Oryctolagus cuniculus: one gene and its partner. The protein of the gene in region 1 binds, or shares a complex with, the protein of each later gene. Links are inferred from orthologs where the notes say so. Each region holds a gene or a part of one and is shown in the gene's direction. Other genes may lie near its edges.

Region 1 (3,577 bases):
GACTTTTTAACAGGTTCATTTTATTCCACACAAATGACTGCAGTTTTGTTCAGGAGATGTTACACTTCTGTAAAACAACTTAACCATTAATCTGAATTGGATTACTTCTGGAAGCAAATCATGTTGATCAAATTCTTCTATAAAGAGGATCAACTTTATTGTCCTTTTAGATAGAACATAATATATGTGGATGGGTATACCATTACACTGTAAGTTTTCATGACTTCACTTACAAACTAAATTATTCCCACCAGGACAGAGAGGATTATTAGTCATTCAGTACCATGAATATGCAAAACTCTGAAAAGCATTTGATTACCGAGTTCTCTATATTGAACAGATCCTTATTGCCCAGAGAAATTCCAATTTCTTCACAATTTGGAAAATTAAAATAGTTTGAACTTTTAAAAAAATATTTATTTATTTGAGAGGCAGTTATAGAGCGAGAAGGAGAGACAGAGAGAGTTCTTCCATCTACTGGTTCATTCCCCTAAATGGCTGCAATGGCTGGAGTGGGGCTAATCCAAAGCCAGGAGCCAGGAACTTCTTCTGGGTCTCCCACGTAGGTGCAGGGGCCCAAGCACTTGGGCCGTCTTTCACTGCTTTCCCAGGCTATGAGCAAGGAGCTAGACTAGAAGTGGAGCAGCCAGGACTCTAACTCGGCACTGAGTTTTTATATATATATATGTAAAATTTATAATAATATATTATATTTCTATATTATAATATATTATTAATTGTATTTCTATATGGGTTTATGTGTAAGTCCTTTGCCAAGTATATAGTGAAAAGTTCAAAGAAATATGATTGTTCCCTGAAATGGCAAGAGTTTTTCAAAATGTCAGGGCTTTATTAAGTTTTTCTACATCAGTACACAAATTCATAGAAACAAAATTATAATAGCTCTGTGCTCAGGTCACTTCTCTTCTGCCTTTGGGCTTATTAAGGCCTTATTAGGACCATCTGTCCATTCTTGTTTGCCTACAATGAGATTATCATTCATTCCCCCAATGGATAATGTCTACTTGCCCCTGTTCGAGGCAGCTGGCTTTTTGTAGAGTAGCTGGTGTTTCTTTTGTAGCTCATTTGCTTTCTTAAAGCAAAAAGCTCAAAGGAGCAATTAAAAGTTTCCATCTAATTCTGGGTAGTCTATGTCTCCTGAAAGGTCAGAGTCTCCATAGAGAATACATAAATTAAAACTGTGTTTGTGATCAACATTGTGGCATGGCAGGCTAAGCTGCTGTCTGTGACACTGGGATCCCATCTGGGTGCAGGTTCAAGTCCTGGGTGCTTCACTTCCCATCCAGCTCTCTGGTAATGCACCTGGTAAAGCAGCAGAAGATGGCCATGTCGTGGGCCCCTGCACTCATATGGGAGACCCAGATGAAACTCCTGGCTCCTGTGGCCATTTGGGCAGTGAATCAGGGGATGGAAGATTCTCTCCCCCCACCCCCCGTAACTCTTTCAAATAAAATAAATAGATCTTAAAAAACAACCAAAAAATCACCCATGTTCTACTCAAATCTATTTGGAATATAGTCATGTACCTGTACTTTGGTTAAGGTATACGATTATCCTCAACACACACACATGTACACAAACACACAGCCACACCATTTTTAAATCATTCCTTGATGGCAAGTTTATGTGTTACATACTTGTAACCATAATTGGCTTAGGGATTGCTGAATATCTAAATTGTTTTGATGTCGATAAAAGAAAAGTGTTCATTTTGGAGCATGTTGCTATTTTTCTTCTGTGACTTCTTTATGATAAATTCTCAGTCGTGGGATTATAGGCTCAAAGGGCATAAAATAATAAGTAAAATAAAATTCTTACAATGGCCGTTCATTATCTGATCTTTATTCAAGACTTTTTATTGGTTTGTTATTCAGTATTACAACAGAATGGGATACAAGAAGACATAAAATATGTGGACCAAGTAAAGAAAATTAAAACAAGTGGTTGCAACCAAGAAATGACATCATTTGAAATTAATCTGAAGGAAAAAAAGTAAGAAATTTTTTAAAGCTTAGATTTTCATTTTTGATTTTTAAATTTTAGCCTGTTTTTAAAGTTTATATAACTGTTCTCTTTTCAGTTTATGACTTCATAAAATATTTATAGTTGGATATTAGTTAGATCTTCTTAAATTTGGTTCCAGGAAAACTCAGTTTTTTCTGCAGATTAATTTGTGTACTTTTCAGAAAACAAAGATAACTGTTACTTTAGAAAAGCTATCAGAAAGATTAAATCCATTGTTTATTGTCTTTTTCTCCTGATTACTTAAAATAATGACAGTGAAGGATTTCAAGATAAAACACAACAAAGTTTTTAAATTGTAAGTTATCTTGGTTATATACAGGTTATAAATTTAAATAAAACATTTGCCTCTATAAGGAATGAGCTAAAATACCTTGTAGTTTTGTATTTGGCCCAAAGTGATGATCATCAGTAAACCAGTGAGTAGTGTCCTCACTAGAGTGCTGGATGCATTCCGACTTCCATAAAGAGACATTCTGTAGATTCTGACCTATATATGTCTGTCTAGTTATTGTGAAGACTTGAGAATTTATGAGAGTATGAAAATCCTATATCTTACCCATATTCTATCTGGGCTTCTTAACTGTAGGACTGAAATGGTAGTATCTACCTCATTTAATTCCTTATACATTAAAAAATAGCCAAGGAGATTAATTTCTTTTATATCATTAGGGCAATATAAATGTTTATTACTAAAACTCTCTTTACATTGTAGATTCAATTTAAAAATGTAGTATACTTATAGCACTGGACTTGAAGTTTTGGAGACTTGAAAACAAATTCTAACACTACTCTTGACTGTGTGACCTTGGTCAAGGCACTTAACTTCTCCTTGATAGCTGTTAAAAGATAATGCCTATTTAGTGCTTATAAATGTGGCCAACAATATTCAGACTCTTTTGCTGTATTAATTCATTTAATTCCCACAGCAGCTCTATGAGTTTGGCAATATTATTACCTTTGGTTCATGGATGAGAAACAAAAGACGGAAGAAGTCACTTGCCCAAGTGAATTGTGGAGCCAGGATTCAAATGTAGGCAGGGTTGCTTAAGAACCCTCCCTCTTAATCCCCATAGTGGGTTCATCTGTAAATTGACAATGCAAGTGGCTGTCTCTAAGAGTGGTATGGAGACTCAGTAAGATTGTATAAATCAAAGTGCTTTGTAAAGAGATATACATAAGAAGAAGGTCATGCCATGTCTTCTGACAGTTCTGGTGGTGAGTGGGAAAGAAATGTCATTCACTAGAATACTTTTTCCTAACATTATGTTCCTTTCCAATGTGACTAATAATGTTCAACATGAATGAGTGACCAGATGCTTTTCTTAAGCCCCAGACTTGAAGGTTGCTTCCGTCAGAGGAAAACTCCTGAGTCTCCCTAACTTACAATGTTCTTTGTTGTGTTTTAACCACATTGCCCACTTAAGCCATTGATCAGCACTGAATTTGCCAATGATGTTTTTAACCACTAGTAACCTCACCAGCAGAATAGATAGCCTAGGTTGTAGATTTATAGATTTCTTGTATACTTCGC
Region 2 (3,914 bases), on another chromosome or scaffold:
TTCCGGCTCTCCCACACGGGTGCAGGGACTTGGGCCATCCCACACTGCTTTCCCAGGCCACAGCAGAGAGCTGGATGGGAAGAGGAGCAGCTGAGACTTGAACCGACACCCATATGCAATGCTGGCACTGTGGGTGGCAGCTTAACCTGCTACACCACAGCGCCAGCCCCTCTAGTCTTTTCAAAGCAGGGAGCAGGATAAAACTTTGGGGGAGAGCAGGCATTTAGTCGAGTGGTTGTCGCCACAGAAGACGTGGGTTTGATTCCTATCTCGGGCTCCTGGCTCCAGCTGCCTTGCCCACGCCCACCTTGGGAGGCAGTATCCAATGCTAGGGTCCCAGCCACCCACACGAGAGATCTGAAGTGGGTTATTGGCTCCCAGCTTTATCCTGGTCTGGTCCAACGCATTTCAGGCATCTGTGGAGTGAACGAGTGGACGGGACCATTCTCTCTGCCTCTCAAATATTTTTTAAAAACTTTTTGAAACTGCTGTTATATAGAGGGTTTTGAAATTATATAACATCAATCACAAGTGATATGACAGAGCGACAGAGGGTGGGATCTTCCTGTGCGGGGTTGGTTGGGGGTCTGAATCTTTGGAAGTGGGGCCGCCTGTGAGAAAGATGGCCCTCTAGGAGGAATTCAGCAAGGCTGAGTTGCCCACAGATCCACCAGCAAGTGCACAGGCCGCGCGGTGGGGCTCCCTGCGGAACGCGCCCAGGGCCCGAGGTTCCCAGAGGCAGTGCTCTGGGACAATGGCGCTCTCTGCTGGCCTCGACAGATACCAGCCCCACGTCAAAGCAAAACAAACGCACCGATTCTGCATCACAGACTCTCAGCGGAACACAGCCCAAGCTCCACATGGCGTCGTCCCAGGGTTGGCGGGCAGGTGCCCAACGGCGGGCACCGCACGGACGGACGCGCACGCGTGCGCGGGGGCCGGGCCCGCGTCTGGGAGTGCGTCTTCCACGGAAGACACGTGTTTCGTGGGCACTTCCATGCTCGTTCCGACCCCTCGGGAAGACAAAAGCCCGCGTAGAAATCCACGCATCCTCCCCGCTTCTCCTGTTGTCCTGACAACGCCCTGACGCTGCCAGAGCTGGCAGTCGCCCCACGTCCACGGGAGAAAATGACGGCTTTGATGGCAGAGCAGGCAGAGGATTCCGAGGCCACGCCTTGGCGGGCGGCGGGAGGAAGCGACGCGCGGGCCCCCCGCGGCGCCCCCGCGCGTAGGCGTCCGTTGCCATGGTCCCCGGGCGCTCTTCCGGGCCGTCGGCGTGCGTCTCTCGTCACGTGACCCGGACCAAGATGGCGCCGCCTACAGCATCGCAACGCTCACGTGTTTCCGGCCAGGCAACATGGCGGCCGCGGCCAGCCCGGCGTCCCTGGAGTCGGCTCCGCGGATCATGCGGCTGGTGGCCGAGTGCAGCCGCTCCAGGGCGCGGGCGGGCGAGCTGCGGCTGCCGCACGGGACGGTGGCCACTCCCGTGTTCATGCCGGTGGGCACGCAGGCCACTATGAAAGGCATCACCACGGAGCAGCTGGACGCCTTGGGCTGCCGGATCTGCCTGGGCAACACCTACCATCTGGGTCTGCGGCCGGTGGGTGCGCTCGGCCCCAGCGGGGTGGCGGCGGGACGCGGTGGGGTGGGGGGATCCCTCGGGTGGACCCCAGTCCCGGGCTCGCCTCCCGAGGGCGGTCACCCCGCTCACCCCGCACCTGCCACACTGTCCACCCCAGGGCCCCGAGCTGATCCAGAAAGCCCACGGCCTCCACGGCTTCATGAATTGGCCCCACAACCTGCTGACGGTGAGGGGGCGCAGGGGCGCTGGGCTGGGGAGAAGAGCCCCCTCCGCCCCCCGCTCCGTCTGACAGCCCTGCGCGGGCTCCCCCAGGACAGCGGCGGCTTCCAGATGGTGTCCCTGGTGTCCCTGTCCGAGGTGACGGAGGAGGGCGTCCGCTTCCGCTCGCCCTACGACGGCGATGAGACCCTTCTGAGTCCCGAGAGGTCCGTGGAGATCCAGAACGCGCTGGGTGAGGCGACCCCCGGGGAGCCGCTCCTTCCCTCCCTCTGTGGGGCAGGGGGGAGTCCAGGCCCGCCTTCCTCCTCCGGGATGGGTGCAGTGGGGGGTGTCTTCCATCCGCTGCATCACTCTCTAGATCCAGAAGGAAGCAGGGGCGAGGAGCTTCATCCGGGTCTCTTGTGTGGGTGGCAGGGGCCCAGATACTGGGGGGCCATCTTCTGCCGCTTTGCCCAGGTGCATTTGCAGGGAGCTGGATCCGAAGTGGAGCGGCTGGGACGCGAACCGGAGCCCGCGTGTGGGCTGCTGGTGTTGCAGGCTGTGGCACAGCACCCCTCCCCCCGCCCCCCTTTAGGGTTGTTGACAAGAATGAACGTGGAGCAGCTTGCAAATCCCCCATCCCGTCCCACATCAGAGGGCTTGTTCGTGTCCCCGCGGTGGCACGCCGGCGCCGGCGCCCTGCAGATCCGCCCGGTGAGGCAGCAGGGGACGGCCCACGTGGGAGACCCGGATGGAGCTCCTGGCGTCAGCCTGGCCCAGCCCTCGCTTTTGGGGAGTGACCAGCGCTGGTGGAAGATCTTTCTCTCCTGCTGTCTCTCCCTCTCTGCCATTCCACCATTTGAGTAAATAAGTGTGTAAGTCTTGAAGAACGACAAGAGCGAGCGGGGGAGTGTTCCGAACTCGCTCAGCGCAGTGCTGGCCTGCCGAGGCTGTTATTTATGATCACTGTTGCTGTCATTTCTCTAAATCATGAATTAAGGGGCCAGTGCTGTGGCTTAGCCGGTAAAGCTAAGCTGCCATCTTCATAGCCGGCATCCCATATGGGCACCGGTTCGAGTCCTGACTGCTCCACTTCCAGTCCAGCTCTCTGCTGTGGCCTGGGAAAGCAGTAGAAGATGGCCTAAGTGCTTGGGCCCCTGCACCTGCATGGGAGACCAGGAAGAAGCTCCTGGCTCCTGGCTTCAGCCTGACCCAGCGCTGGCCATTGTGGCTATCTGGAGAGTGAACCAGCGAGTGAAAGATCTCTGTCTCTCCTTTTTCCTCTGTAACTCTGCCTTTTGAGTAAATAAAATAATAAGTCTTAAAAAAGATAGACTTTGAGATTCAAAATGAAATTGAATGGAAAGTGTAGGGAGTTCCCATAAGCCACTGCTGCCTTCCCATCCCCCACCCCCCACAGCAGAGCACATCCCTGTCAAGGTGGTGCACCTGTCACCGTTGATGAAGTGCCTGTCACTCAGTGTCACCGCACATCCACTGAGTGCATCATGGGGGCAATAAACAGACGAGGGGGTCGGTGCTGTGGTGTAGTGGGCTAAGTCTCCACCTGCGGCACCAGCATCCCATATGGGCGCCGGTTCAGGTCCCGACTGCTCCACTTCTGATCCAGCTCTCTGCTGTGGCCTGGGAAAGGAGTAGAAGGTGGCCCAAGTCCTAGGGCTCCTGCACCCACGTGGGAGACCCGGATGGAGCTCCTGGCTCCTGGCTTCGGATCAGCTCAGCTCTGGCCATTGCGGCCATCTGGGGAGTGAACCAGCGGATGAAGACCTCTCTCTCTCTCTCTCTCTCTCTCTAACTCTGCCTCACAAATAAATAAATAAAATTTAAAAAAAAAAAAAAACAGTTGAGGGTGTGGACCCACCATTGTAGTTTTGTTGTTCTAGGTCTTAATTTGTTTTATTCTAAAAAGAAAAATTGGGGGAGCAGTTCCAGGTTTTCCTTTTGAAATAAGGATTTTCTGTCTCTCTCTGTCTCTGTCTCTCTGTCTCTATATCTCTCTCTCTGTCTCTGTATCTCTCTCTCTCTCTGTCTCTGTCTCTCTCTCTCGTTTTATTTAATGGAAAGGCAGAGAGAGGTCTTCCACCTGCTGGTTCACTCCCCAAATACCCGTAAC

What was found.
Region 2: the proteins of QTRT2 (region 1) and QTRT1 are in contact, whole or in part, in a crystal structure (PDB 7OVS), measured with the Mus musculus proteins. The link is inferred for Oryctolagus cuniculus from reciprocal best matches to the Homo sapiens genes QTRT2 and QTRT1. Residues at the interface, in NP_001343258.1 of Mus musculus: Arg39, Thr40, Gly41, Ser42, Ala43, Pro44, His45, Leu46, Thr47, His48, Gln49, Thr50, Asn53, Glu70, His71, Glu73, Val74, Glu77, Tyr78, Phe85, Ile86, Gly87, Phe119, Gln342, Glu343, Phe345, Tyr355, Asn359, His360, Ala363; in NP_068688.2 of Mus musculus: Thr50, Thr53, Met54, Lys55, Gly56, Ile57, Thr58, Thr59, Glu60, Gln61, Ser64, Arg80, Pro81, Leu85, Lys88, Ala89, Phe95, Met96, Asn97, Ala307, Lys308, Phe310, Pro320, Thr324, His325, Ala328, Phe329, Ala332, Leu333, His335.

The regions. Positions count from the first base shown.
Region 1 is NC_091435.1:70,119,718-70,123,294, forward strand, and holds part of QTRT2 (queuine tRNA-ribosyltransferase accessory subunit 2), read left to right. Parts: intron 1-1,895; coding exon 1,896-2,013; intron 2,014-3,577. UniProt on the Homo sapiens protein: Non-catalytic subunit of the queuine tRNA-ribosyltransferase (TGT) that catalyzes the base-exchange of a guanine (G) residue with queuine (Q) at position 34 (anticodon wobble position) in tRNAs with GU(N) anticodons (tRNA-Asp, -Asn, -His and -Tyr), resulting in the hypermodified nucleoside queuosine (7-(((4,5-cis-dihydroxy-2-cyclopenten-1-yl)amino)methyl)-7-deazaguanosine).
Region 2 is NC_091447.1:66,830,971-66,834,884, reverse strand, and holds the start of QTRT1 (queuine tRNA-ribosyltransferase catalytic subunit 1), read left to right. Parts: upstream 1-1,318; 5' UTR 1,319-1,357; coding exon 1,358-1,600; intron 1,601-1,739; coding exon 1,740-1,808; intron 1,809-1,894; coding exon 1,895-2,033; intron 2,034-3,914.